2 linked regions of the Alligator mississippiensis genome follow. The protein of the gene in region 1 purifies or fractionates together with the protein of each later gene. This does not show direct contact. Links are inferred from orthologs where the notes say so. Each region holds a gene or a part of one and is shown on either strand. Other genes may lie near its edges.

Evidence for each region.
Region 2: the proteins of CHD1L (region 1) and XRCC1 purify together in Homo sapiens (affinity purification with mass spectrometry; 3 studies listed by BioGRID and IntAct, counting the BioPlex papers as one, with this or other methods). This does not show direct contact. The link is inferred for Alligator mississippiensis from reciprocal best matches to the Homo sapiens genes CHD1L and XRCC1.

What each region holds. Positions count from the first base shown.
Region 1 is NC_081824.1:251,903,852-251,918,486, forward strand, and holds the start of CHD1L (chromodomain-helicase-DNA-binding protein 1-like), read left to right. Parts: upstream 1-7,707; 5' UTR 7,708-7,777; coding exon 7,778-7,874; intron 7,875-9,986; coding exon 9,987-10,099; intron 10,100-10,879; coding exon 10,880-10,986; intron 10,987-12,493; coding exon 12,494-12,608; intron 12,609-13,700; coding exon 13,701-13,732; intron 13,733-14,635. Other genes in the region: uncharacterized protein LOC102572765, read right to left, coding at 1-121, 2,078-2,115, 6,577-6,633, 6,753-7,043. UniProt on the Homo sapiens protein: ATP-dependent chromatin remodeler that mediates chromatin-remodeling following DNA damage.
Region 2 is NC_081838.1:29,411,703-29,427,139, reverse strand, and holds XRCC1 (DNA repair protein XRCC1), read left to right. Parts: upstream 1-7,496; 5' UTR 7,497-7,625; coding exon of another isoform or gene 7,626-7,682; 5' UTR 7,683-7,847; coding exon of another isoform or gene 7,848-7,877; 5' UTR 7,878-8,054; coding exon 8,055-8,105; intron 8,106-8,879; coding exon 8,880-8,972; intron 8,973-9,153; coding exon 9,154-9,261; intron 9,262-9,612; coding exon 9,613-9,771; intron 9,772-10,027; coding exon 10,028-10,105; intron 10,106-10,215; coding exon 10,216-10,330; intron 10,331-10,452; coding exon 10,453-10,559; intron 10,560-10,728; coding exon 10,729-10,828; intron 10,829-10,932; coding exon 10,933-11,164; intron 11,165-11,408; coding exon 11,409-11,525; intron 11,526-11,633; coding exon 11,634-11,703; intron 11,704-11,781; coding exon 11,782-11,896; intron 11,897-12,081; coding exon 12,082-12,136; intron 12,137-12,240; coding exon 12,241-12,386; intron 12,387-12,720; coding exon 12,721-12,811; intron 12,812-12,925; coding exon 12,926-13,001; intron 13,002-13,108; coding exon 13,109-13,222; 3' UTR 13,223-13,655; and 1 more. Other genes in the region: phospholipase A2 inhibitor and Ly6/PLAUR domain-containing protein, read right to left, coding at 726-774; phospholipase A2 inhibitor and Ly6/PLAUR domain-containing protein-like, read right to left, coding at 3,602-3,825, 4,118-4,258, 4,666-4,818, 5,112-5,231, 6,013-6,229, 7,626-7,682, 7,848-7,877; ETHE1 (persulfide dioxygenase ETHE1, mitochondrial), read left to right, coding at 13,846-14,295, 15,009-15,153. UniProt on the Homo sapiens protein: Scaffold protein involved in DNA single-strand break repair by mediating the assembly of DNA break repair protein complexes. Negatively regulates ADP-ribosyltransferase activity of PARP1 during base-excision repair in order to prevent excessive PARP1 activity.

The sequences.
Region 1 (14,635 bases):
GAGAATCTCAGCAGTGCTTTTAGTCTCAGGCTTGTCCTTTTTAGCCTCTGCAGCCACCACTGGGAAAAACGTGGGATCTTCATAAATGTGGAGATAGCGCAGGAGAAACAGGTTATTCTGCCTACAAGGAGACAAATAAAGCAGTCACTGCTCAAGCCTGTAAGTTCCACCCTAAGTTATCATTCAAAGACATTGTGTTCAGAAAACAAAACAAAACAACTCTTTCCCAAAGCATTTTCCTTTAATAGTCTGCTTCTCCTCACACTGTAGAATACAACAGAGCAATTCTGTGTCTCTTTCCATTCCTAGAAGCTGGAATCCTAGTGACCCCAGCATACGTTTATCAGAGATTCCCATTTCCTAGCATACAAGTGTTTAGCTGGCATCCTGCAAACACATTTGGACACAGGGGTCTGGGCCCCATTGGTGCCACAGAAAGTTTTACCACTGGCTTCAGAAAAGCCAAGATTTCCTCTGAAAAAGGAAAAAAAAAGGACAAGCACCTTAAAGCAATGTGGAGTTTGTTCCTTTAGCAGATAATATGGTCTATCCCACCAAACTTCACAAACAAGTATTTAAAAAAAATCAGACTGCAAGACAAGAATTGAAAGGAGACACATGGGTGGCTAAAAATTGGGATGTTAGAGGCTGTTTGCCCCTGATGTGCAGTATTTCTCTACCTGGGGCTCCACATGTCATGCCCGAGACTAAGCATGAACAAGAGACCTGCCATGAAAAACCAAGGCCTTGAGAAAAAACTACTCATGACCAAAGACTAAAGCTTATCACCAGTTTGAGAGGGCTTTTCTTGAGATGCTTCAGTATCTGCCAAAGGCTCTTATTCTAGGTGTACTGCCTTTTCTCTTCTAGACAGCATACTCACTCCTATACATCTATTCAGCTTCTTTACATAGCCAAGATCACCCCAGACAGGCTATGTTTACTTTGCTGATAAGCAAAGAGGCCTGCCTGATGCTACAAGAAGCATCTCACTGATCCCAAAACCTTACGATGTGTGATGCCACTCCTGCCAGTGACAAAACATCAGTCCTTGCTCCAAGCAGCAATGCTGTTTCATAACATCTGTGCACCTCAGGTTTGTTGGGTTTTTTTTAAAGGAGGATTTGGCTAGGGTTTTTTCCTCTTTATTCTGACTAGGTAACTTCCAAACACTCCAACGTCCCCCAAACAGAAGCCTTCATGGTATTACTGTGACACCTGAAGACTTAATTCTGGTTAGCATTTGTGTCACAGTACCCACCAAACTAAAAGTAAGAACAGAAACAATCAGTAGAATGGTCTGGAAAGATCAGAGCCAGGAAGCTAACAAAAAGGGAGAAGATACTAGCAGTTGTCCATGCCCACAGAGATAGACAGGCAGTACAGAGAGGAAGCGGAAGTGGTAGCAACCTTTTACTGTGTTAATTTTGTCCCATGGGGGAATATTTATCAACTGAAGACTTCAGTACTATGACAATGATTTTTAAAAATGTACTGGGATCTGCAGAGATGTTGCTCATCCCATTACAAGCAGTATAAGAGAGCTGGATTGTGAGCCTGTTAACTGCATCTCTTTAAAGCAAAGTGCATGTAGTTACAGGGTCCTTCAAGACTGCAGACCCCAAGGAGTCAGTTAGAAGATTAGGTACAGACCAAACCAAAGACAATGAACCCGAACTCCTGAGCAAGAAGTAGGCTTTTAGCCCCCAACTCTTCATCCAACTTCCTGGCTCCCCCCACTAACACTGACCTAGAACACTGGGTCTGTATACCCCACATCTTCAAGAGATGCCTTACTTTTTCACAAAAATGCATGCAGAAGGCACAGAAGCAGCCAGGTGAAGTTTCCATACTCCAAATGGACTATGAAAAAAAAGGGTTAAACCCTCCCTGGCAGTACGATGGTCAGAGCAATTCAAAGAGCCAGTACATGCTTAGCGGATCTGGGCAACTCAACACTAGTCTCTCCGTTAAATGTCCCTAATTATACAGCCTCTCCCTCTAAAGAAGTTATTCCAGATAACCCAGATTTGTTAGGCAATGCAAAGCATGTAGTGTAGATATAGAAAATTCTTACCTCATTAAAAATGGTACTAAACAGAACTGCCCGAAAGCCTGGAGAAGAAGACAGAGGAGATTAAACAGGCAAAACAATATACGACTACCATACCTCCTTTCTCCAACTCTGGGAATACTGGCCAAGCTCACGCCTACTCCAATTTCATAATCTCCCACAGCAAAAAACAGTAGAGACACTGTTTTATTTTAGCTTTGATTCTACTACAACATTAAATTTAAAAAGAGAGACAAGAATCTCATTTATACAACATCAAGAAGCAAGTCAGTGCTTAGCACTATCAAATCTGAACCCGTTTACTAAGTCGTGAGAATTTCTCATGCGTTTCTTTAGGCTCTCCACTAAAAATACTTCAGTGCTAACACCCTCACATTGCCCCATCACTCAGAAGCATGCAGTCCCAGATAACAAGGTTAAGTTATCCATAAGACATCTATAGATTCCACCCCAAAAAATAAAATCTGCAGCTTTGAGCAGAACATGCAAATTCTGGACGAAAAAAAAAAATGTTAGCATATTCCATATGCAAGCAGTTTCCCCTCAATGCCACTGACACTTTTACCCTATTAAACCAGTGAAACTGGCCTCCTTCTCAATCCAATCAGCTCAGTAGGGCCATGTCCAGACACGCAGGCACGTGCAGTTTGTGGCTCCACAAACCAAACATTTGGAATATTAAAATGGGACCAGTGCTGCAAATTTGCAGGGTGGGGGCAAAAATTGCTACCAGGATTTCTAGGTAGCAAAAAAAAAAAAAAAAAAAAAAAAAAAAAGGTACCAGGAAAAAAAAAAAAAAGTGCAGAGGATAGGAAAATACTGTGCCAGAACAGAGGCTTGATCCTCCAGCGAGGCACTCTGACAGCTGGCCAGAGCATCTCTACTACCCCATTTGCGACCCTGCTGCTCCAGCATGCCAGGAGACAGGAAGGGCTGGATTCCGGCAGTTTGCCCAAAGCAGGACAATATATCCCATAACAAAGCACACATAGGCCACGTCCAGACAAGCACAGACATGTGGAGCCGCACATGCAGGTGTTCCTCATATTCTTACTTTGCAGTGTGAGGGAGAACGGGGGGGGTTGACACTGGGAGATTCCCAGGCAAGAAAACCCCCAAAACGGGGTGGGTACATGTGGCAGCAACGCATGCCACCCAAAACCAGAGCCTGGCTGGCTGGAGCTATGCTCCAGCTGCCACCCAGGCTTTCTGCCAAGGTGACAGCCCCAGGAAGCCTCCAGGAAAGGCTACTGGGGCTAGCACAACTGTTGGCCCCAGCCTCCCCTGCCCCACCTAGGATAACTTACCACGCGCCAGAGCGCGTATGGCATGGGTATTCCCTGGGGACAAGGTTACTTGTCCCCAGAGAAACAAGTGTTCCCCCTTGTCTGGACATGCCTATACAGGGTGTGTGCAGAGACAAAAAGTAGTGGCACAAATCTGTGCCGCTACTATTTGTACCACTGCAAATACACACCCCTACACATCTCAATGTGGCTTACATGTTAGAATTTTCTCTGATCCAGACTAGGAACCAAGGCACTCAAAATTGTCTTTACGCTGTTGCTAATGTGTCAGTGCTAAAGGTTATAGATATCAGTTGTTTTCTATATTGAAAATGAAAGACTGCTTAAAAGCACAGGAAGACATTGTGGGGTGGGGAGGAAGGTGAGGGGGAAAAAAAAAAAAAAGAACCATTATTATTTGCTACAATTTCCTATACACTTCTCTAATACCTGCATTTAGCAGGTAGAAATAAACAGCTAGAGCAGATTATTAGGTTTACACTTATAACAGCTTCTGAGATCTCAACACATTTTACCAACATGAATATGGATAGAGAGAGATCACCATGAGGTTTGGAAATATTTTCACTCCCCTGCATTTTAAAAAACGGGAAACTGAGGTACAAAAAAGGAACATGACACAAGAGTGGCAAAGCTAGAGGAAATGAGGAATCCTAGCTCCCACATCACCTGCTTTAGCCACAGTACTATACATCATGAGGCTTCCCCACAGCACCACTAACAAAACCTGTAGCTGATTAACTTCTGCAGTTGTTAAACTCAGGGTCAATGCACAAAATTAAGTTGTGAATGAAGACAGTTCCCAAACTACCTGTTCTTTACATGTGGCAACATGGGCAAAATATCATTATCTTGCTAAGACAAGACATTCTGCAAGAAATTTGTTTTGAAATAAACATCATGGGACATTTCCATCGAGTCCCATACCAAAATCACCTCATACTGTGGCTCAAATAACTCATGTTTGTCAGCACTCCACTGTGTGAGAATTCCATGGCTGTGCCAACTTCAGAGGGAGAAACAACTAGAAGAGCAGGAATAAATCAATGTTCCAGAACAGCTTAACTGGTGAAGCAAGCGTTTAATCTTTGGACAGAGATCCTTAGGTTTCTTGGTTGGGAACACAGTCAAAACCAGCTTAACTGTCAGGATTCTTTTCTGCCCATTATACTTGGCTTCACTTCTAGACTTTCCCTGCAGATGTCAGAACATGTGGGAAACAAGCATTTCTTTTTACCGGGCCCTAGAGAATGCGTGGATCAACAGCTTTTCGTTACAACATCCCACTAGAACTGATCAGACACTGAATTTTTTATTGCCATGTCCCCTGAACAAGTAAAGGGGTAGCTTTGGCTTTATTCCAAAAAACAAAACAAACAAAAACCCAACTCTTTCACCTGCCAGCCTTGCTTAACTGAGCTGTTTAACATTCTTCTGCAAGCTAGGAGGAGAGAGTTGGTTGCATCTGTCCTGCTTTCAGAGGCAACAGCCTGCTTTGTCAGATGCTGTCTAATAAGGAGCCATTCAGCCTGCCTTTTGCAAAAGGCTGCTGTTTGCTGCCTTGTTTACATGCCAACATCTGTACCATTAAAGCTAGACCAGGTGAGAAGATTGTTCCCCAGGCAGCAGATTAGTTAGGCTGTTCTTGTTTTTGGAGCCTTCAGCAGCCGCACACACAAAGCCAACATATGGATTACATTCATTCGGGGATACAGGTTTTAGCCATGTTGATCTACAGTCAAAACCAGTCAGAACTCTTTGTTGAGGCAATATCTTTCATTAGGTCAACTAGGCTAAATTTTGCTTTTTTGTAAAGCCATCTACTTGGTCTAATAAAAGATATTACCTCTACCAAGAGTTCCGACTGCTTTTGCCTGTAAAATCAACACGGCTAAAACCTGTATCCCTAAAACAATGAAGATATCATAATCAGCCGTTTTTAAATGAAAAAAAATGAAGTTAACAAAAAAGCAGCAAAATTCAACACCTGAGACCTGGAGGCTACCACCCCCATGGGCTCCAGCCTTTTGTTCAAGCCAAATTTGCATACCTGCAAAACAGACTTTACACAACAGATATAAAAAAATAAAATAGGAGATGCAAGACTTTATATAATCTTGAGAGGTTTTTTTCTCCCCCCCTATAACCATATTATTTCAATAAAAGTTAGAGAGGTAGAGGGAGATTAAAAACCTTGCCTGCAGTGCTGGAAGCCCAAACACAGTATCTTTGTACAAGAAGCACTTGGTGTTCTATAAACAAACAGCAGATCACAAGAAAATGCAACTATTTAGATAAAGTCACATGCAGAAAGAAATCCTGGCGAATCCTTGAGGCATAATCAGGGGATTTCAATGGTATTCACAGTGCTAACAGACTGCCTGCAGCCAACACAAACATAGTTTGGTCTGTAGCATATACTCCACATTACAATGCATAAATAAGTAAGTAAAAAAAAAAAAAAAAAAGCAATAATGATTACAGTGAACCTTGACTACAAGAAATTGTATGTTTCACTCCCTACTGGAGTGCATTACCTACCCTGGCTAGGCCACTGCAAAGGACCAGCTTATGAGGTCAGGTCTGCAGCTAGGCTGGGACAAGCCAGCCACATAGGGGCCACGTAGGCACAACCGTGGTAAACATAGCAGATTGGTAGTGGTCATAGGGGTAATCACATTATTGGGAACTTGGAGACAGCTTGCTAACAAGAAGCTGCACCTGGACAGCGTCCCTCCTCCTACCGCTAGCCCTTGGTCTCAGAGAGATGTTACTGTGCCGGGGGGGGGACTGTCAAGACCCCCTGATTTCTTACAAGCAACAATCCCCGACCGACAAGCCTCTGGAGTGGTGTTCTACCCTTTCCCTTCACGGGGTACAGGTGTCCTTTTAACCCACATCAAACGCTCTGCTTGAGCAGCCTGAGCAAAGATGCAGAAGCTGTCTTACCCACTTAGCGTCAGGGGCATTTTGATGTGGATGGGTTAAGCAGTGCCTGCCATCCTGGCCCTTGCCCTTTACACAGGGTTTGTTTTTTCTTGCTCTGACCAGCTTTGCCCAGGGCCAGGGCTAAGCCCTGCACACAGGAGTAGGCTGGACCCCCCCCACACACCTACCCCAGCAAGCTCAGGACAGCATGGGCCCTGCCTGGGGGGCACCAGGCGGGCAGCACAGACAGGGCAGAGTGGTACTCACCGTGTTAGCCAGGTGGACAAGCAGCCGCAGGGGCTGGCCAGAGAGCCGGGGGCCCCACTGCAGGGAGGAGAGGAGAGGAGAAAAGTCACAAGGGCTTGCAGCTGGAAAGGCACCAAGCCGGGGAGACCCCACAGGTGCCCCTCCCCCAGCCCACCCTCTAGGGCTCCTCTACTTACTGCGTCCCGCGGGGGCTGGAACCCAGCGGCCCCGACCCGCTCCCGGCACTGGAAGACGGCGCTGGGGGCGGCGGTGAAGCAGCGCACGAAGCCCAGGTAGAGGAGGAGCAGGAGCAGCAGCGCCGCCGGCAGCAGCAGCGCGAGCGCCATGGTCCCAGCGGGCAGGGCAAGGGCGCAGGGGCGGTGAGAGACCCGGGCTGCGACGGCGCGGCAGCGGCGGGGCCGGGATTTGTGGCGGGGAAGCACGTGGGACTGCTGCGGCCCGGGGGAGGCGGGCAGGGCAGGGCACATCCCGGGCCGCTGCAGATGCAGCACTGGCTGCTCTCGCCAGGCCACGGCCAGGCGCCCCCCGCCCCTGCCCGGGTGATTGCCGGCCGCGCGGCTTCCTGGCTACGGGGGTCTGCCCCGCTGGGCCTCACGTGCCCCAACCTTACACGGGGGCGAGGGGGTGTAGGAGGGTGTGGGAGAATAGGTAGGGGGAGGGGTGTGGGTATAGAAGGTGCAAAGGGGTGCGGGTATAGGGGGCATAGAGGGTGGGTGTAGGGTATAGTGGGGTATGGGTGTAGGGAGTGTGTGTGGAGGGGGCGGTATAGGGGGGTGCGGGTGTAGGGACTGTGGTGCTTCTTCTCTGGTGACACTTGCCCCTTGGGGTCGTTTGCTGCTGCCGGCTTCCCCCGTGTGGGCCCCGCTCCGCGGAGGCCAGGAGCGCAAGCTTGGTACCCGCTGGAGGCGCGCGAAGCGAGCGGCTGGCATTGACTTGCACCCCGGATTGGAACGCCAGCTCGTACTGTCACAGCGACTGCCCAATCAGCCACCGCCAGCCCCCAGCCAGCCAATGGCAGTTGACGCGCGACTGGCCTATGGGGGGAGCGTTCCAAGCCATCAGCCAATCCGCGCCTCGCTGCGAAGCCAACTCGATACAATGTTGCAATGCGGCTTCCGGCGCCTGAGCTGCTGGGTGGTGCTGTTGCCCCGGGGGTGGGTAGGGGGCTGCCGGGCCGAGGCAGCGGGAGGCGGCCGGCGGGATGTCTCGCTTCTTCCAGGCTTTTTGCAGTAAGCCCCAAGGGCGGGCAGGCGGCGCGCCCTTGAAGGAGGAGGACTTGTACCACTGGGGCCTGGCAGGTCAGTGCGGCCGGCGGGGCCGCCCCGAAGGAGGGGTTGCCTGTTTGCGGGCTTAACTTGGCTGGATCCGTCAGGGACTTGCCGGCCAGGCCCGGTGGCTTTAGGGTTGGACAGTATCAACCTCCTTGCCTCAGGGTGCTGCGTGGAATCCTCCCCCTTTGACAGTCCTGCCTTGAGCAGGGGCTGGACTAGGTGACCTCTTGAGGTCCCTTCCAGCCCTGCTCTCTTACATAACCATAATGCACCTTGTGGGCCAGGTTCTTCTGTCAGGTAGTGGGTGGAGCTCCAAAGTAAAACCTTCATTCCTTCAGTGGAGCTTCATTGGCCGCATGACATGTCCTGTAACCTCCCTGCAGTTGCTTAGCCTGCGTGGAACAGGGAGCAGAGGTTGTTTTTGTGGAGGTCCTCTGGAGCTGAGCTGCTGTAAGTGGGTCTGTTTAAAGGGAGACCTCTGAAATGAAACAGGTCTCCAAAATCAACTTATCTGCTGACCGGCCTTGTAAGCTTGATGTGGAGAAGGATGGGCTTCCCTAACCTGGGAGAAGGAAGAGGGTTTTGGTTATTTTAATGAAAGGAGAAAAAAATACACACACACACACGCTGTGACTGCTGCAAGGAGCTAGGGTAGAGCTGTGATCCACTGCGTGCACACCCCTGCCCAGAGCATACAGGCTGCAGATTGTGACTCTGCCCCAGCTCCGGACTACGCTGCCATGGCTGCAAGATCCCATCCCGAATGCAAAGCATCTCCATGTCTTGCCACGTGCCCTGCCAGCACTGCTGGGGCGGATCTCCATGAAAACCCCTGCCCCATGCTATCACAGTGTGGCTGCTAAGGTCCCCATGGAAACCAGACCTAGGCTTGTGGGCAGGGGCTGCTGGGAAATGAAGTCCAGCTACCGGCCAGGTCCACCATTTTGCCCATCCTTGATATCCATAGAGTGCCAATTGCTTCTGCTGCTTGACTTTACTGCAGCCAGCTGTGGAGGAGATTGGTGCAGGGGGGTTCTGCAGCCCTGCTCCTCTGGCTGCTGACAAGCAAAACTACGTGATATGGGTGCTTGTGCAACTGCCACCCCTGCAGTTTTCACCCCCCTGTGGTGTAACACATACACATGACATGAGTTTTGCTTTCAAGAATTTGGGGTGCAGTTGCCCCCAAACCCCTGCACCAATCTTCTTGAAACTTGGCAGGCTTTGTGGCCTCAGCAGGGGCTACCGCCCCTGCAAGTTTCAGACAAAAAGCAACAAAGTTATAGATATTTCATTGATTCCCCATTATACCCTATGGCCAGATCTCTGAGGCGGCTCATAAGCTTCGGACGGATCAAAATGGGAACCCGGTCCGGAGCTCCGGAATGGATCCCTGACATCCAAAGCGGCTGGATCCGAAGCCCGATCGAATAGCTGTCCGCTCACACAGGCCTAGTGACCACTAGCTAAGTCGGGTTGCTCTGCTTTGCGCTACGGTGATGATATAACCCTGCATGATTTTTGCTCTATATTTCATAGGGAGCATTTCGCAGAATTTGGAATAATGGCCACGTCCTACCACCCAGTCCTGTGCCTTAACCACAATAACATCCTTTATCCTCAAAGTAGATGGACAGTTTGTAATAAAATCACCTCCAGTTTTTAACAGAAGGCTTTTACTCCATCCCCTTCTGTGAGAGAGAAATTCTGAACTTTGCAGCATGCTGAGGAGGGATAAAGCTATGTTCTGACAGCATGAGGGCACATGGCCCTCCAAGGAAGGGGTTTATCAAGGAAGATGACACCCAAGCAATTTCCTTTTGTTTGATTTCTAGGAGGTTATGGAACTGGTACCTTTACTCACCTCACCCACAGCAGTCCAGCTTGCCAGGGAGGCAAGTTCCAAATCATTAAGGGCTTTCAAAGTTAAAATTGGCACTTTTTGTTCAGCCTGGAAGCTTATTGACAAACAATGCAGATTGCGAAGCACCTGTAAAATATTTTTTTGGCATGAAAGCTGACTTGGTAGGTAGGCCTAATCTGCCCTGTGTTTCTACATCTGCAGGATTACAGGATGCAGTGCCAAGTAGGTTGTGTGACAGTTTTGTGTAGCTTTACCAAATCACTTTTGTGTTTTAGGTATTCAGCTACGTTCCTACCAAGTGGATGGGGTGAACTGGCTAGTACGATGTTATGAAGATCAACATGGCTGCATCCTGGGCGATGAGATGGGTCTTGGAAAGACTTGTCAGGTGCCTCTTTTTATTTCTCCATGGACAATCAATTTTGCCTATATTTTGTCTTCCCAATGTTCCTGCAAGAGGTAGGAGAGGAATTCCTTAAAGTTTATTTAGATTAGGACCAAATATTGATGTCCTTGAGAAGAAAAAGGCCTAAATCTTGATTCCTTCTGCTCTTGCTCAGTTAAAACACTTTTGTTTTTTAAAATAAAAGGCAAAATTATATTCTTAGGGGGAAGACTGCTTTGAAGCTCCTGCTTAGCTGACAACACAACTAGCTATTAGTATCATAAGATGTTGCTTTCGTGACTCTCTGGGTAGATCATTTTACAAAGTTCAGTTCTCAGAGCAGAGATGGTTAGATTTGTATAGCTGTTTCATAGCCTTTTTTTTCCTTGTCAAAATAAGCATTCCACTTCTGTTAAGAATTTGGCAAAGCGAGCTTGGTGTGTTTCTTCAACTGACAGTATTCCCTGAATTTTAAGTGCTATGCAAATTACTCACTTAAAATTAGCATATAGTACATTGCATTCTTTCAACGTTACAAGGGAAAAACATTTCTGAGTAGGGGACAGAGTGCTCCCAGATTAGTGATAGAATTGGACTGCAGCTGCAGTGCATTTGATTAATTCTTTTCCATAGTTTGCAGTGCTTATGGTCAGGGTTTTGCCATAGTGAGCCTGTCAGGAACCAGCAGCAAAGATGGTGTTGGAGGGAAGGTTTGTATTTAGATTGTGGGGTTTGTTTTGGAACTGCTTATTATTGACAACAATTCTTTTCTTTGTGTTCCAGACCATTTCTCTGCTTGTGTATTTGTCTGGAAACTTTATAAACAAAGGGCCATTTCTTATTCTTTGTCCTCTTTCTGTACTGAGCAACTGGAAGGAGGAACTAAAGAGGTGAGCCTTAGGATTATGATGCAGACATTTGCTCTCATATCAGTGAGTTGCAATGATCACTTAGCATATGCTTACACGGCTTATGGTTTTTTAAAATTAAAGGCAAGACACTGAAACATCAAGTTTGTGGCACAGAAAGGCACAGTTCACAGCTAATGCATGGTTTTCTGTGCAACCTTGTGTATTGGGATGTCCCCTGTGGTAGGGTGCATAGTACTGGGTGACTCCTGGCACAGCTGCCCCCTACTTCTCCTGGCTTTCATTGTTAATTGTTGTAACCTCAATGCTCAACATCCCACTGGAGGCAAAGGTTAAGGTCCAAATTAAGCCTGCCCACACACAAGTGTATTTACTGTGTGCACACGGATCGGGTAAGGAGAACACCATTACATCTGTGTGTGTAAGGCAGACCTGTGTGCACTAGATCAGTTGATGGTGTGGCTATTATTCATGTGTTTTAAAACTGCGTGAGTGTTAGAAGAAAAAGACTGCTTTTGAATTGTGGGAATTTGCTGTCTCTCAGGAGGATGTGATAACTGATCAGGCCATGAAGTGAACTGATGTAAATCAACAAGAATTTATTTATTGTGAGGCATGGCTCAGGGAATATACATTGCCATCTATTGTGAGAAGGATATTCAGATATTTATGGTGGGGTGAGGAAGTAAGAGAGAACTCCATTGCGATGACTTCGCTCTCTTTCACAGTACTCCTTCCCTCTCCATCCTATAAAGATTATGAAGGCAGTTCTGTCTTGTGCAGAGGCAGAAAAAACTGGGAAGGATATCCAGCATCTTTTTTCAGTGAAGGATTTTGTTGGTCCTCCTGGAATGTTATGCTGGGGAAAGAATTTCTGTTGATGTTCGTGGGAGCCTTGCCTGGGTGAAGAGCTCTGGACTGGGTTCTATGACTATGACTTCAGTGGGAGCTGTGGGTAGTTAGCATCTCAGGATTGTTCCCTGCAATGAGTGTTCTGGATAGATGTAGATTCCTGCTTGTGCCCAGGGGATCCCTACTACCTTGTAAAAAGAGCTCTTGCTGGAGAAGGAGGTTCGTGTTGGGTGTGGTGTTGGCTGGATTTCAAGGTTCAGACTGGAAGCCATATCCAGAATGAAGTTCAGATTTGGCAGCACTGTTATCTTGCTGCCTTCTTGTGAAATCTTCCACTCAAAGTAGTGGACATCCCATGACAATAGCTGCTGTTCTGCCATGTCCCATCTTGGATGGTAAGGCCTATGAGAATGCTGCCAATTTCATGAGCTTCTGGACTCCTCCACGCGACAGCCAGAAAAACAGGATATAACCTGAGCCCAAACCCATCAGGGCAGGATTGAAAACAGGGACTTGGATCCAACACCATGATTTGGATAAGGGGTTTCCATCTGGGTCCTCTTTTGGTTTTTATGCTAGGTTTGATTGACAGGGTTTGAAGTTGACCACAAGCTTTTGGGGCCTGGAAGGCTCAGCCCAGCATATTCCTTTGTTTTGTTTTGTTTAATGGGAACAGGTTTGCTCCAGGTCTCTCCTTTGTGACATACGTGGGAGACAAGGAGGAAAGAGCAGAGCTGCAGAGGGACCTGAAAGCACCTCTCAACTTCCAGGTCCTGCTGACAACATATGAGGTACCACTCCCCAGCATGAACAGCCTGCTTTCGGGACCCATCTCTGTTTCCAGCCAGGGAAATACTTTCTTTGTCTCCATTATGAATAGTTTGTTCTGGGCATCATTTCACATTGGCAGTTTGGTCTGTTTTTAAAAAGTAAACACATCCACTTGAGTCCAGTAGTGGTGAAAGGTCTCTCAGCTCCCTCTGTTCAGTTTCTCAGTCCTTTTCTCCTTGTTTCTGCCCTCCTTTTCCTTGTTCTGGGGTGTCTTTTGTTTTCTTCACACCTCAGACTCGTTTGTCGTACCGTGCCCCATCCCAACCCCTTCACCTGCTTTTCTCTCCCCCACCTTGTTCCTCCCCAGTCCTAGTTATGCACGGTGAGTACTTGGTATGAGAAGGCTGAAGGGGCTTTCATACTGGAGTGAGCTCAAGGAAACACAGCTTGTAGAAAGAAATAGATCTGGCTTGCATTTCTCCTTTCCCTTTGCTGTCACAACGAGGACACTGCTTTGGAGAAGGCCTTTGTCCTTACACAGCTCAAAGTCTTCTCCGTTTTGAACCTGCAGGCAAGCAGGCTGCATGTGCATACTTGTGACAACAGCAAAGAATCCTGACACGACACATTCATTGTGATAATTTATTTTGATGGTGGGGGGAGGAGGAGAAGTGGGATGTGGCAGGGATATTGAAAACTTTTGATTCTCAAATACGAGAAGAACCATCATAGGAAAACATAACAAAAGTGAAGAGACTGAGACACATGTTTTTCCCAATGTAAAAATCTCTCTTTAACATTGCTGGTTTTTTAAAATTGTATTTCAGATAAGACTACGGCCTGGGTAACTTGTGGTTATTAGAGAATCTCCATGACATTGCCTATAAAAATAGGGTCGGGTTCAGCTACACTAATTGCTTTCCATCTCCTAAACTCTTTCTACAGTTTCGTTGCCCACCCACTAATTGCCATGCTCCTCTCAAGAGGCAGCTGTTGTTTAAAGGGCTGGTGAAGTGATCCCTGTTTGGTTTATCTACCACTTCTCAACACAGAAAATCCCAAAGAGCTTTGCTAACATAACTGACAGGTCATCTCACTTTGTTTGTTTGCAGATTTGCCTGAAAGATGCAACATTTCTTAAGTGGTGAGCTTACTTTTTAAATTATTCAGATTTGTTCAGTGAGCCTATCAGCCTTTTCCTTGGGTTGCTTTCCTTTCAGACACTGTCTGTTTTACATGAGCTGTGGCTACTCTTCACTGGGCACATCTACACAAGATGCTGAATGCACAGAAGACTAATTCTACTGCACATCAGCACAGCAGGCAAAACCCATGTTAATGCGGAGTAGATTTAGTCTAATGCACATTAACATAACTAAAAAAGTGTTCATCTGCACTAATGTGCAGTAGCGCTGATTACAGCACATTAACTTAATACCTGTTATTACAGGTATAAACTTAATGCACCATAATTATGACATTAATCTGCACAGTAGCTTGTTATTGTGCAGTAGCATTGGCAGACGCTAACCATGATGCACTGCTAGCGTGCAGTAGCATCTGAAAAAAATTGTATGGGGACAGTACTGTGCAGTAACAACTGTGAAGTCTGCTGTTTGTATAGATATGGCCGCTGAGTATCAGGACTTTGTTCCTGATCTATTTCAGTAAAAAAAAAAAAATCTCTTCATTTTCAAGAGCGCTGCTGTGTTCTTCCAGTTTTCCTTGAATGAAACAGATGGTTTTCAAGTAGGGGCATAGAAATGCATTGTGTGCTCATCTTACATAACTGGCATGAAGTCAAGGAGTGTTTCCTTATTCAGGTCATCTCATCCAGGGAATCATCATCAGTAATGCCAGCAGAATAGAGTAAACAGAAGCCCAGAGTATCACTTTCTGGTCCATGTAGCTCCGCCATGTGGGTGGCTTAGGTTATAAGTATGAAATTGAGAAACCTGAACTATCTTCTCCTGTGATGATCACTACAACCTCGTAACCTAAATTGTATTGCATGACGTTGAGCATGTCTCTCGTCGTGATGTGCGGG
Region 2 (15,437 bases), on another chromosome or scaffold:
ACACACACACAAAGTCTAGGTATCCAACATGCGCACACAGAACCCAGGCATCCAGGACACACACACACACACATGCTCACTCCCTCCGGGCCCACACACTCGTCCTCCCGGTTTCCCTGCCCATCATCATATCTGGGCCCTGGGGGATCTGGCGTTGTGTCCCCCCGCCCTCCTTCATGCTGCCCACCCCCACCCTGCCTATCTCGGCTGAATTCCAGCCCTGGAGGTGACAGCCATCTGTGGCAGCCCCGGGGCATTAACCCTTCCAGGGGCGGACCTGTGCAAGCGGCGGCAGACAGAGGTGACCATAGTGGAGGACCACGAGCCACGTGCTCCAAGCCACGTTCTTGGGGTGGGACAACTCGGTCTAGCGCCCCCTGCTTGGACTCCCAAACGCTGGCCAGAAAAGCCCCCAGGGACCCAGGTATCCTGCATCCCACAGGACCCTAGCCCCATCCCAGAGAAGCCAGGCATCTGGGCTTCAAGCCCTATCCCAGACCCTGCCAAAGAACCTAGGCGTCCAGGCTCTAACCATCCCCAGCTGTTCCTTTCTACCCCCTTGAAAAGCCCCTTCGTGATGAGGCTTCATTGCCTCTGCCGTGCTCCCCCCTCCGGCCAATAAGAAGCCTCGGACACCTGTAGGGTTCTCCCAGAAAATTAATTAACAAGCTCCCAGATCTAATTACCAGCTCCTGGCCTGGAGCCATGGCAGGGGGGAAGCTCACCTGAAGCCAGGAGAGCAGCCAGGAGGCCTAGAGTGAGGAGGGCGCCCATGGCTGCCAGTGTTGGGAACTGTACGGAGCCGGTGGGGATTTATAGGCCGGGAGCCATGAGGTAGAAGGGAGGGGGGCGGAGGCCGGCGCCAGAGCTAATCCCTGGCGCCGAGCTTCCCGTGGGAACTTCCATTGCGTTGCGTCCCTGCCGCCGGCAGTGGGAGGGTCCCTTCCCCATCACTCGCGCCCATGCCGTGATAGGGACGTCCTCCTCGGTATTTGGCGCCTCCTCCTCGACTTGTTTCTTGGGTGCCTGGCCCTTTAAGATGGTGGCCATGCCCACTCATGGCTCTGCCCAGCAGGGCTATATATGACAGGGCCCTGTATCCAGCTGGGCCCAGTGACACCTCTGCCCCCAGCAACCCAGACCAGTTCCCAGCCTACAGGGCGCCCTGTGGAGCTGCAAGTTTGGAAATAGGTTGGGCATCATTGGTGGAGGCCAGAAGGTGAGTCATAGGCTGGCCAACAAAGTCATTGCATCACAGAGATGTTGGGCTGGAAGGGACCTTGAGAGGTCACATCTAGGCCACCCCCTAGATGTGACAAACTGTTCTATACAAACCCATAATCAAAGAGTCAGTCAGAGACGTTGGGCTAGAGGGGACCTCCAGAGGTCAAGTAGGCCAACCCCCTACATGAGGCAAGACCGTCTCTGTCCAAACTATCCTATATAAGTCCATAATCATAGAATTAGAGATGTTGGGCTAGAAGGGACCTCCAGAGGTCACACCTTGGCCGACCCCCTGCCAGAGGCTGGATCATCCCCATCCAAGCCATCCCATACATCTCCATAATCATACAGTCATAGAGACATTGGGCTAGATGGGGACCTCTAGAGGTCAACTAGGCCAACCCCCTACCTGAGTCAAGACCAGTCCTATCCAAACCATCCTATATACATCCATAATCATATGGTCATAGAGACATTGGGCTAGAAGAGACCTCCAAAGGTCACATCTAGGCCAACCCCTCCATGAGGCAGCACCAGCCCTATCCAAACATGAGACCATCAGAGCTGCCATGCCCTGTGTCAGACCCTAGGTCCATCTTGCCCCATCTCCTGTGTCACATGGCAGAGTCAAACTGCATCATCCCAGCCAAGGCTTTGTGTAGCTGGGTGTTCGCCACCTCCAAGGACGGAGATGCCACCACATCTCTGGGTAGCCTGTTTCAGTGCTTTGCTACCCTCCTCATGAGAAAATTCTTCCTAATATCTAACCTCAACTTCCCCTTCTGCAGCTTGCGCCCATTGCTCCTTGTTCTGTTGTCTGTCCTCACTGAGAACAGTCCAGCTCCATCCTCTTAACAGCCACCCTGCAGGAAGTTGAAGGCTGCTCTCAAATCCTACCTCCATCTTCTCCCGGCTAAATCAGCCCAGTTCCCTCAGCTTCTCCTCATCCGTCCTGTTCCTCAGCCCCACAACCACCTTTGTTGCCCTCCTCTGGACTCTCTCCAATCCTTTCTGTAGTGGGGGGGCCCACAACTGGACACAGGTTAGGAGCGGGAGGGGGGACAAAGTCAAGGCAAACCTCCAACAAGTACATCCGATCCCCAGGGAAATTCAAACATGTATCAATGGTCTGTGTATAGGAGCTAACTACTGGAGGGTCATCTTGTATTTGAGGCCAGCTTGCATTTGGGGGTCATCTTGTATTCTGGGATCTTCTTGTATTATAGGTCATCTTATATCCAGGATCGTCTTGTATTCAGGGTTGTCTTGTATTGGAATTGTCTTGTTTCCAGGATCATCTTATATTCAGGGTCGTCTTGTATTTGGGGTCGACCTATATTTGGGGGTCGTCTTGTATTCAGAGTAATGAAGTGTTCAGGGGCATCTTGTTTTCAGGGTCATCTTGTATTCGGAGGTTGTCTTGTATTCAGGGGTCATCTTGTATTGAGGGTCATCTCGCATACGGGGGTCGTCTTGTTTTCAGGGTTGTCTTATGTTCAGAATCATCGTGTTTTTGGTGACATCTTATATTTGGGGGTCATCGTCTTGTATTTGGGGGCCATCTTGTTTTTAGGATTGTTTTGATTTTTTATTTTAGGGTCATCTTATATTCAGGGTCATCTTGTATTCGAGTACATGTGGTACTACATCAACTGGATCAACCCATACCTGGCCTCCATGGGCACCCTTCTTCCTACCCCAGGGTTCTGGCAGCACCCAGGTCCCCCTGCTCCCATCAGGCCTGGGCTGGGGGGTGGGGTCTTTGCCTATCTGTGTAACTGCAGAGGAGGTGGGGGAATTGAACCTGCACCTTCCTGGCCTGGCTGGGGCAGGACCCTTAGCTCCCAGCTAGGTGTGTGTAGGGGGAGGGGGGCATGTCATATCCTATTGTGATGGGACTGATGTTGGCCAATGCCTGGTGGGGAGACCCCCGCTGCCCCTCGTGGGAGACCCCTTGAACCTACCCTTAACCCCTGCCCCCTCCGCAACACCAGCCAGTTCCCCACCCCCTCCCACAGCATCACCAGGGGAATGAGAGACCCATACAAGCCTGTTTCCATGACCCGCCCTGCATGCTGGGGGCAGGGCTTTATTCAGCCAATTGGTTCCAAGGCACAGGGCACAACCGTGGATCCATGGTTGCCAGGGGGACAATGCTGGTTGCCAGGGGGACAATGCTGGTTGCCAGGAAGATGGATACTGGTTGCCAGGGGGATGAAGCTGGTTGTTAGGGGAGTAGGTGCTGGTTGCCAGGGTGGTGGATGCTGGTTGCAAGGGGGTGCAGCTGGTTGTTAGGGGAGTAGATGCTGGTTGCCAGGGGGATGGATGCTGGTTGCCAGGGGAAAAGTGCTGGTTGCCACAGGAAGCTTCCCCACAGTTACTGCTCCCCAGGGGCCGTAGGGGTGGGGGTGGGGGTGGGGGTGGAGGTAGGGGTAGGGGTGGGGGCGGGGGTGGAGCTGAGGTGGAGGGAGGGGGCAGGGCTGCACTCTGCCTTGCTGATGACCTCAGTGAAGACCCCGCTGACCTCATAGACACCGACAGCGCTGACGCAGGCACTACGGGTGGCGCAGCCCCCCAAGGCATAGCTGTAGTTGTAGCTGCCTGGAAGGGAGACACAGGAGGGGTTGGGGGGGGCCAAGGGGACCCCAGTCCCAGGATTGGGGCCCTGGAAGACCCCTTATACTTTCTCCCCTGCCCCCCCCAGCAGCATATTGGCAAGCAAAGGGTTAATGCCCCCAAATCCCCCCAAAAGAGGGGATCTCCCCCCCATCCCCCAAGACAGGAGGTGGGGGTTGGGGGATGGACACCTGGGTTCTCTGGGAGGGGAGTGAGGCCTGGGGAGGATCGCTGTGGGGGTGGGGGGAGCTGGGAGCCTGGACTCCTGGCTTCTCACCGACGTGGATGGCACCAGCTACGTAGAGGCACTGGTCCTCGTGGTCCCGGCATGGGACCCTCTCCTTGGGCTTGCAGGCAGGGCCTTCAACAGCACAGCCTGGGCACCAGCGCCCGGTCAGGACCCCGGGGGCCAGCGGCACTGGAACGGACGGACAGGCGGGGTCAGGAGGGCTCAGGGTAGGGGTCGCCTGGCTTCTCTCCAGCTCTGGGAGTTAAGTGGGGTCGCGGGGGCGGGGGGGGGAATCAGTGCTGGGAGCCCAGATGCCTGGGTTCTGGGAGGGGCATGTGGGTTGTGGGGTGAGAGTGTGGGGTGGCAACGAGTACCCCAGACACCTGGGTCCTCCTCAGCTCTGCATGGGGGGCTGAAAGCAGGGGGTGCTGGGATCCCAGACACTTGGGTCTCCCGTCAGCTCCTGGATGGGAGTGGGGCTGGGGGGTGAGCAGGGGGGGTCTGGGAGCCCGAACACCTGGGGTCTGGGGGGATTCAGGGGCTGGATCCCAGATGCCTGAGTTCCCCGCTGGCTCCAGAGAACGGGGGGTCCATACATTTCACGGCGCCCCGGTTGCAGCCATCATGGGAGCAGCACACGGAGCCCCCCCGCAGGCGCACGCCGGCACCGGCACTGAGCGTGGACGAGCGCGGGGGGCAGAGTGTCCTCGCTGTGCAGCCCTTGAAGGTGTCCACCTTCCCCGGCGTCCCTGGGTGGGCACAGACAGGAGGGACTCGGCATTGCCCTGTCCCCAAACCCCCCCACCCAGGCATCACGGAGTTAAAACCGGCATGAAAATATATACAGTGCCTGGTGTGGCCGGATCCTGGGGGGAAGCGGTATCGACATCACCCAGATCCCCCTGGAACCCCCGGACCACCCTGATCTCTGCCTGGGGGGTCTGTACAGTGCACAAAGCACCCCGATCCTGGCTTGGGGGGGTCCAGACAGCCCCCACCCGCCAATCCCAGCCTGGGGAGCCCCAATCCTGGCCCAACTCACCCCCAATGTGGGTCTCCGAGGTCAGGGTGAAGCAGGCATCCTGGAGGGGAGCACAAGGCACCAGGGGCCCCGTGCATGTGAGGCCAGTGCCGTTGCAGCGATGGCAGCTCAGGGGGGAGCCTGAGGGGGCAGCAAGGGGTGAAAGTGGGGGCCCGGGAGCCCAGACTCCTGGGTTCTCTGGGAGGGGACTAGGGACTAGGGGTGAGAGAGAAGGGGGGGCCCGGACGCCTGGATTCTTCAAGAGGAGAGTGGAGGCTTGGGGGCGAGAGCGGGGGTCTGGCTGCCCGGATGCCTGGGCCCTCTCCAGCTCTCAGGGGGGCGGTGGGGGGGGAGTCAGGGCTTTGAGAGTGCCCAGACACCGGTGTTCTCCAGAAGGGGAGCAGGGTGCTTTGGGGCAGGGGTCCCCGGGAACCCGGGCACCTGGGTTCCCTCCCAGGCAGTGGGTGGAGGTCTCACCTGCACCCAGCAGGGCAGCAAGCAGCCCGAGTGCCAGGGGGGACAGCATGATGGCACTGGGGGCCCCAAGCTGCCCAGAGGCACTTATAGCCCCTGGAGCAGGGGGGTGGATCCGGGAAGCATCCGGGTGCAGGGCAGGAGCTGGTGACCCCCCACCCCCGCTGGAGCCCAGCCAGGTGCAGAGGTTGGCAGCCGGGACGCCTGGGTTCTCTGCCCGGTCCGGGGCGAGCGGGGAGGTGCGGGCTGGCTGGGGGCCCACGCACCTGCCAGGCTTGGCCATGTGTGCAGCTATTCAGGAGAGAACCCAGGTGTCCTGGCTGCCGGCCTGACGCACACCCCGCCCCAGAGGTGGGGGGAACCCAGGCTACTGGGATCCCAGCTCCACTGCCGTGCAAGAGCTGGAAGGAACCCAGGCGTCCGGGATCCCAGCTCCCCCTGCTCCCACCTGTTAGGCTTCCGAGCTGGAAGGAACACAGGCACGGAGCTCCCAGCCGCCCCTGCTCTCCTCCCACTCCACCCAAGAGCTGGAAGGAAGCCTTGCTCCGGGATCCTAGCTCCCCCGATCTCCTCTGCAGGCTCCGGAGGTGGGGGGAACCCAGGCTTCCAGGGTCCCTGCTCCCCGCCTCCACGGCAGGGCCAGTACCCTGGGGGGCCCCAATCCCCTAGGTTGCGCAGGGGGGTTTTGGGCTGGGAGCCCAGACACTTGGGTTCTCTCCGGAGGGGGGACAGAGCGGAGGGGTCAGAGCCAGGGGACCCGCTGGTGCACCCAGAGGTGAAGCTGGGGAGGGGGCAGGAGGAGGCGTGCAGGGGCTAATGGGTTCGGAGCCCAGACACCTGGGTTCTGGGGGCGGGGGGGGGGGGTGGAATGAGGTCAAGGGGAGTTAGGAGCACAGATACTTGGGTACTTGGGGGAGTGAGGTCAAGGGGAGTTAGGAGTGCAGATGCCTGGGTTATGGAGGGGAGTGAGGTCGAGGGGAGTTAGGAGTGTGGACACTTGGGTTCTCGGGGGGAGTGGAGTCGAGGGGAGTTAGGAGCGTGGACGCCTGGGTTCTTGGGGGAGAGTGAGGTCAAGGGGGGTTAGGAGCACGGACGCCTGGGTTCTCGGGGGGAGTGGAGTCGAGGGGAGTTAGGAGCGTGGATGCCTGAGTTCTCGGGGAGTGAGGTCGAGGGGAGTTAGGAGTGCAGACGCCTGGGTACTCGGGTGGGGAGTGGAGTCGAGAGCAGTTAGGAGCGTGGATACGTGGTTTTTCAGGGAAGGGAGTGAGGTCGAGGAGAGTTAGGAGTGCAGACGCCTGGGTTCTCTGGGGGAAAGTGGGGTGGAGGGGAGTTAGGAGCGCTGCCGCCTGGGTACTCGGGAGGGGAGTGAGGTCAAGGGAAGTTAGGAGCACGGACGCCTGGGTTCTCGGGGGGGGGAGTGGGGTCGAGGGGAGTTAGGAGTGCGGACACCTGGGTACTCAGGGGGAGTGGAGTCGAGAGAAGATAAGAGCCCAAGCACCTGGGTTCTCGGGGGGGGGAGTGGGGTCAAGGGGAGTTAGGAGCGTGGACGTCTGGGTTCTCGGGGGGAGGAGTGGGGTCGAGGGGAGGGGAGTGGGGTCGAGGGGAGTTAGGAGTGCGGACGCCTAGGTTCTCGCGGGGGAGTGGGGTCGAGGGGAGTTAGGAGCGCCTCCACCTCGGTACTGTGGGGGGAAGTGGGCTGGAGGGGAGTTAGGAGCCCGGACACCTGGGGTCATGGGGGTGGTGGGGTCGAGGGGAGTTAGGAGAGCCGACACCTGGGTACTCGGGGAGGGGGTGAGGTCTAGGGGAGTTAGGAGCCCGGATGCCTGGGTACTCGGGGGGTGGGGGAGTGAGGCCTAGAGGTGAGAGCAGCGGGGGCTGGGAGCCAGGACTCCTGGGTCCCCTCCAGTTGTGGCGGGGGAGTCATTGGTTGCTTGTGAACATCTGTACACTCAAGCTAGGACCGCAGCGCCGGCTGCACGATGACGTCACGGTCCCCCGGCCCCGCTCATGACGTCAGGCACGTGTGATGACGTAACGCCATGGGGCCGCTGTCAGGTCTACTCTGACGTAGCGGGGCGTCGAGATGGCATCACAGGCAGGCGGAGGGACGAGCGCGGCCTTTAGGGAGGGGGCGGGGGAGCAGTGACATCACTTCATACCCTAAAGACGTCACCCAGCAGTGCGCGTGCGCATGCGCAGTAGCTGCACCTGCTAAGAGGCATGCGCAGTGTCGAGGCGGGACAAGTGGCGCCCGCGGGAAAGGCCTTGCGCATGCGGACGGACCGCTGGAGGAACTGGCGGAGCTTGGTTCATGCGCACGGGCCCGGAATCGGTCGCCGCGTCTGCGCAGAGCGCGACGAAGGACCCGGGCAACCATAGAGTTCCCAAAAGAGGCCCCGTAGCGGGCTTCGCTTCCGGGCTGGGCCGGAGTTTTGGTTCCGGGGCGGGAGGCGGAGGCGCCGACGGGACGGGACGGGACGGGACGGGACGATGCCGGAGATCGCGGTGCGGCACGTGGTGTCCGCCAGCAGCGCCGACCCGGTGCGGGGGAGAGGGGAAGTCCGGGGGGGAGAGGCCATTCTAGGGGAGCGTGGGGGTGGGAGGGACCATTTTTGCATGCTGAGGGAGTGTGGGTGAGACCATTCCAGGGGGTACTGGGTGAGGCCATTCTTGGTGGGGGAGGGAATCTGGAAGGGACCATTCAGGGGTGCTGCAGGGGGGTGTGACTTGGGAGAGATCATTTGCGGGGAACTGGAAGGGACCATTCTAGAGGGCTGTTGGGGATTGCTGGGGGACGGGGATAATTGGAAGAGACCATTCCGGGAGGGACCTTCGGGGGGGGGGGGCAGTGGTAGAGACCATTATGGCATGGGAGCTGGGGGGATGCTAAGAGGGGTGAGAGATCATTGAGGGGGATTGGAGGCAGCCGTGTCAGGGGAGGGGGCGTGTAGTGGCCATGGATGAAACCATTCTAGGGCAGTGGGATCTGGAGAAGACCACTGGGGGGTGGCAGGGACTATTTTAGGTGTTTTTGGAGCGGATCATTTGAAGTGGGGGGTGCTGGAAGAAACCCTGGTGAGGGGAGATACTTTTTGGAGGAAGGGGGAGCTTGGGAGGGGCCATTCTAAGGGAATGTGGAGAAACCATGCTGGTGGGATTTTGAAGGGAGTGGGAGGGACCATTGTGGGAGTCATGGGGGGAGGTCATGCTTGAAGCACATAGAGTGGGAGAATTTATTTTGAGTTGTAACATGTGGGGGGCGGGGGTGGGACTTGGGGTCGTGCCCATCATACTTACCCCCCACTTACGCCCCAGACCCACTGCGCTGAGAACCTGCTCCGACCCGACACCTACCGCAAGTGGAAAGCGGCACAGCCCGGAGAGAAGCAGATCTCGGTCATTCTGCAAGTGAGGACCCCCCAGCCCTGGGTTCCCTCTGGCTCTGGGAGGGGACGCCGGGGGGGTGAAGCGGGGAGTGCTGGGAGCTTGGACACCTGGGTTCTCCAGGGGGGGAACAGTGCAGGCAGCGACAGCCATCCCCTCCATCCCGGTAACCAAACCGTCTCCCCTTCGCCCCACCACCGGGCAGTTTGAGAAGGAGGAGCAGATCCATGGCATTGACATCGGGAATGAGGGCTCGGCCTTCGTGGAGGTGCTAGTTGGCAGCTCGGCCTCCCCCAGCGAGCAGGACTATGAGGTGAGCCCCCCTCCAGCTCCCCACATGAGAAAAGGGAATTGGGCAGGCACTGGGCACCTAAGGAACGGCGGCTGGCTGGGAGTTGTAGTCCTCGCTGGGATTGCAGTTCACCTTGTTTTCTAATGTGGGGGGGAGCCTGTCTTGGTCACCCCCCCCCCCATCACAAGCCTTTTCACCCTATAGGAACTGGACTGGAAGAAGGGGTTCAGATCTTGTTTCCTCCCCATGAGCCTCATTTCCCCACCTTTTTCAATAGCATAAAGGGAGAGCTGCTCCCCCCCCCCCCCCCCCAGCACACACACTTAGGTGCTGGATGGGAGGGGCTTGTGGCTGACTACACCCCCCCCCCAGGTGCTCCTGGTGACCTCGTCCTTCATGTCCCCGAGCGAGAGCCGCAGCGGGTCCAACCTGCACCGTGTGCGGCTCTTTGGGCCTGACAAGCTGGTGCGGGCAGCGGCCGAGCGGCGCTGGGACCGGGTCAAGATCATTTGCAGCCAGCCCTACAGCAAGGTGGGCCCTGCTCCAACTGGCTGGCTCCATCCCCCAACCCGGCCGGTGCCTCTCACTCCTAACCCGCAGCCCCCTGCCCTGACCCAGCCCTGCCAGTGCCCCTCACTACCGACCCGCAGCCCCCACCTGCTCCTCTGTCAGGACGCCTGGGTCCCATCCTTCCTGGAGGAAGCAGGGTGGGGCTGGGAACCCAGACGCCTGGCTTCTTTCCTGATGGCTTGTTTTCTCCCTCTGCCCCCATCCCTCGCAACCCCAGACCCTGGCATACGGCCTGTCCTTTGTGAGGTTCCACTCGCCACCGGACAAGGACAGCCAATCGAAAGTGGCCTCCCCGGTGAGTGACAGCCTCTTGGCCCCACCCTAGCCCTGCTGGTGCCCCTCACTCCTGACTTGCAGCTCTCTGCCCTGCCAGCGTCCCTCACTCCCAACCCACACCCCTTGCAGAAGCTGACCAAATTTGGCCAGTTCAAGGTGAAGGACGAGGATGGCATCTCCGGGTCCCTTAGGCCAGGGGCCTTGTTCTTCAGCCGTGCCAGCAAGGCCCCACCCCCTGACAGCGGTAGGTACCAGGGGAGGGGTTCTGGGACCCCAGATGCCTGGGTTCTCTCCAGCTCTGGGAAGGGTGCAGGGGCTGTGGGGTGAGAGAAGAGGGTTCCAAGCACCTGGGTTCTCTCTCCACAGCCCCCCAAGCCGAAGCCCCTGGACCCAGCTATGCTGCAGCCACACTCCAGGCCAGTGCTGCTGCTGCTGCCTCTCCCGAGAAACCCAGCACCAAGGCCTCACCCAAGGTATGGAGGGATCCAGGCCAGTCCTAGCCCGGGAAGCTTCTCTCACTTGAAGCTGATTTGTGCTATCCCAGAGCCAGCTGTCTCCAGGGCAGTTGCACCCAGCCTGGCCCTCCCCAGAGCCAGTTGCCCCCAGCGCTGTTACACCCAGCCCCCCTTGCTCCTCCCACAGGATCCAGCCCCTGCCAAGAGGAGGTTTGAGCTGGGCAAGGAGAAAGCGGCTCCCAGTGCCGCCCGGAAACCAGAGCCCAAGGCCCCCAAGAAACCCAGGGGTGAGCCTGGGGTGGGACCTAGATGCCTGGGTTCTTTCTGGCTGGTGGGGGCTTTGCCCTTGTTGTGAGCCCTTGTTAACCCCTTCCTCTCTGTGCATCTCCAGCTGTCTCCCTGGGTGCTGTGGCCCCCCCCACACCATCGCCCCGGAAACCACAGAAGGAGGGGACAGGGCTGGGGCAGGGAGTGGGACCAGAGGCCTTTGAGCGGCTGCTGCAGGATGTGGTGCTGGTGCTAAGCGGGTTCCAGAACCCCTTCCGCGCCGAGCTGCGGGACCAAGCGCTGGCCATGGGTGCCCGGTACCGGCCTGATTGGACCCCCGACAGCACCCACCTCATGTAGGTCCTTGGCAGGGGGCCATGAACCGGGGTGCCCAATCCCCCTGTGCTCACCCCACAGCTCTTGCACTGCCCAGAGAACCCAGGCGTCTGGGCTCCCCTCCCTGCTGCACAAGGGAGAACCAGGCACCCGGGCTTCCCCCCACGGGAGAACTCAGGCACCTGGGCCCCTTGCCCTTCCCTTAGATGGGGGAGGAACCCAGGTGTCTGAGCCGCCCCCCCCCCCCTTTTTTTGCCCCCTCAGCTGTGCCTTTGCCAACACTCCCAAGTACAGCCAAGTGAAGCGCCTGGGGGGCATCATCCTGCGCAAGGAGTGGGTGCTGGACTGCCACCGCACCCGGCGCCGCCTCCCCGTCAAGAGGTGAAAGGAGTGGGGCTAACAGGGTGGGGCCTGCTGTGGAAGGGGTTAAATAGGGAGGGGGTTAATAGGGGCTGCAGAGACATTGTGGGCAATCCTTCCCCCCCCCAGGTACCTGATGGACGGGGCTGCATCATCCAGCAGTGAGGAAGGGAGTGAGAATGAGGCCTCCCCTGGCCAGGTAGGCCCAGATGCCTGGGTTTTCTGCAGCTCCTCGGGGAGGGGGACAGGGGGCCCTGGACACCTGGGTCCCCTCCAGCTCCCCTCTGCCCCACAGGGAGCTGAGGACCCCCGGCTACAGCGGCCAGACGCCCCTGGGGACAAAGCAGAGCCCAGCACCTCTCAGACCTGCCCTGAGCGCGATGGCCGCCTAGGTAGGTACAGGATGTCAGCATCTGCTCCTCTTCCCACTGCCGGTTCTCATCCCGTAGATCCCTCTCCCCTCCCAGAGCTGGAAAGAACCCAGGCATCCTGTCCCCCGACCTCTTCCCCCCCATGAGCCTTTGCAGTGCCTGGGGTTCAGCTTTTTCCCTCTTGTTTCTGCACCCCCCCCCCCCAGGTTTGAGTGACGGCAGCGAGGACGAATCAGGGGACACAGATGATGAGCTGCGCAGGTGGGGGCAGGAGTCCAGGGCAGTGATCCGGGACACCTGGGTTCTCTCTTCATGGGGAGAGGGGGGATACCTGGGTTCTCTGTCCCCATTTCTAACTGCCCCAGGGTGGAGGAGGAGCACCGCAAGAAGCAGCAGGGGGGTCGGGATCCTGGCGCCAACCCCAATGATGACCCCTATGGTGGCTCCACTGACGAGAACACGGAGGACGAGGGGCAGAGCCCCAGTGACCAGCCAATCCCGGAGCTGCCTGGTAGGCTGAGGGGTGGGGTTTGGGGTGATCTTACCCCTAGGGGGCAGTAATCTCAGTGGGAGGGGCAATAATTTCAGTGGGGGGCTAATCCAAATTAAGGGAGATACCAGATATTTTGCATTAGGGGGGTTTAATCCAGATTAGTTTGACCCCACTTCTTTGTTTTGTGGGGTGGGTCAGCTGCCCTGGGTTAAGGGGGCATATCTTGGCCAGACTGCGGCAATTCAGCCCCCTACCCTGGCCTAATTTGTCCCCCACACCGAAATGATTACCCTCCAACTGAGTTTACTGTTCTCCCACTGAGGTTATTGTCCCCCACATTGCCCCCCCTCAGACCTTTTCGTGGGCAAGGGCTTCTTCCTCTACGGCGAGTTCCCGGCCCATGAGCGCCGCCTGCTGACGCGCTACATCACGGCCTTCAATGGGTGAGCGGCCCAGACACCTGGGTTCCCTATGGCTGGGGCCGGGGGAAGCCCAGACAGCTGGGTTCCCTTGGAGGGGGTTGGACTCAGGCTCCCCACCCCTTCCCCCCACCCCAGGGAGCTGGAGGACTACATGAACGACCGTGTCAACTATGTTGTCACCGCACAGGATTGGGACCAGGCCTTTGAGGAGGTGAGTGGGCGCTGGACACCTGGGTTCCCTTCTGCTCCAGGAGGGGGAAGGGGCTATCCTGGACTTCTGGGCTCCTAACGTGTATGTGTGTGTGTGTGTACCCCCAGGCGCTGCACGCCCATGCCGGCCTGGCCTTTGTGCGCCCACGCTGGATCTTCGCCTGCGGCCGGCGCCGCCGCCTGGTCCCACACCAGCCATTCACCGTGGGGCCCTGCGCCTAGGGATGGGGTGGAGCTAAGGTCGACCATGACCCGTCCTGCTGGGGGCAGGGCCACCTGATCCCCAAGGAGGGGGTTTGCCCCCCTTCTCTGGCTTGCCTTGTACCCAGACCCCAGGGTCTGCCAGCTGCCCCTGGATGCCTGGGTTCTATGCATCAGTCTGTGTCCTGGATGTCTGAGGTGGCGCAGCCCCGTACTCCCAGGTTGTCTGGCTGTTCCCCCCGAAGTCTGGGTTTGCTAAAACAGGCTGGCCTGTGGTGGGTTTGTGCCTAAGGGATTTAGTGGGGGGTGCTTCTCATGGGTCCCCAATGCCTGGGTCCCCCTCTGTGCCCTCTGCCCTCAGGATCCAAGGCTGGATGGATTTGCGGGGGGATCGCCTCACCCTCCACTTTGGGGGCAGTTTCTGGTTTTTCTAAATTAAATTCAGTTGTAGCAAGCCGGGTAGCAGTGTGGTGATGGGGCTGTGGGTCAGGAGTGAGGGGCACCAGGACACCTGGGTTGTCTTCCCCCAGACAGGAGCAGAGCTAGGACTTCAAGGGGAGTGGGGAGGCAACCCGCCCCCCCATGGGTGCAGCTTGGCACGGATGGGACCAAGTCCATGTTTTGGGGGGGGGTGAGCCCCCCTTATGCAAATGACCCAGACTGTGGGCCGACAGCAGCTCTCTATGGTGGCTGGCACAGGACAAACGTTGCTGAGCCCAGGCGTCCAAGTCCACAGCCTGCCCTGTGCCTGGACACCTGCGTTTGCTCTCCCAGTTACAGCCAGGGCCCACCTTGCCTGGGGTCCCTGCAGGATGTGGGTGCCCTTGACCAGCTCTGAGCTGCGCCCGGGAGCCTGGGTTCCTGGGTGGGACAGGCAATGCTCCCTCTACGGTTTAGCAATCCTGGCTGGGAGGGCGGGGCTATCTCTGTGTCCACCTCTTCCTGCTCCTGCAGCAGCCTGTGCCTGGCTTGGGGCAGGGGGCGAGCAGCCAGGTGCCCAGGTGGTCAGCACTGCCCACCACCCCCAGGCTGGCACCAGGGTTAAGGCAGCCCAGCCCACCTATTTTCCTGGGAGCCAATCAGGAGCGTGGAGTGTAGGTTGTTTGCCTATTTAAAGGAACCGTTTCCTACCACATCCTCTCAATGATTGGGGGGTGTCCCAGACCCCTGGGGTCCCAGCCCAGCTTGGGCGAGGAATAGACTAGATGCCTGGGTGGGTTCCCTGTCCCCTCCACCCCCTGCCTGTCCAGCCCTTGCTCCCAAGCATCTGCCCCCTCCCCCGGACCCAGCGGGAACCCTGGAGTGGGACCCCAGACCCCCGGGGCAGAGACCCGAGACGGGTCCCACCCCCGCCCCCTAAGGTGCCCTGTGCCTTTAAGGCTGGGTGCCCAGCCCCACGCCCCGCCCCCTAGCCGGACCGTTAAAGGGGCCGCGCACCTAGGGCTCGCAGCAGCCCCGGCACCATGTGGGCGAGTGGCAGCCGCCTGGGCCCGAGCCTGGCCGCACTGGGCCCGATCCGGACCCGGCCCTACTGCGCCCGCCAGGCTCAGCGCCGCGGGGTCATCTTCCGCCAGGTGCGGGGCGGGCTCGGGCCCTGGCCCTGGCCTTCCCGGGGGGGGATCTGCCTTCCCTCCCCGTGCAAAGCGGGGGCGCGGGCTGCCTTCCTGGTTCGGGACGGGACGGGACGGGGTGGAGCCTGGGCGGCCGCGCCTGCATCGGACCTTGGCCGCCTGGGCCCGATCCCGGCGGTGAACGGGCCAGGGGGGCACCCAGGGGTCCTGACCCCCGCCTCCCCCCTGCCCCGCAGCTGTTCGAGCCGCGCTCCTGCACCTTCACCTACCTGCTGGGCGACGCGCGCTCCCGCCAGGCGCTGCTGCTCGACCCCGTGCTCGAGACCGCGCGGCGCGACGCCGCCCTCGTGCGTGACCTGGGGCTGGAGCTGCGCTACGCGGGTGCGCGCCGGGGGCCCGATCCCTGGGCCTGATGCGGGGGGTGGTCCTGGGGGCCCATGCTGGGACGGGACGGGACGGGATGGGACGGGACGGGGGGCTGGGGGCAGCAACACAATCCCGGGAGTCCTGGGACCTGGAACCCCAATGCACCCCTTGACCTAGTCCTGGGAGTGAGGGCTGGAGGGTCCCTGAGATACAGGGGTGGGGCAGGGGCACAATCCTGGAGGGGTGGCCCTGGGGGTACCTGATCCTGGGTGGCCCCATCCTGTGACGGGGACAGGGGA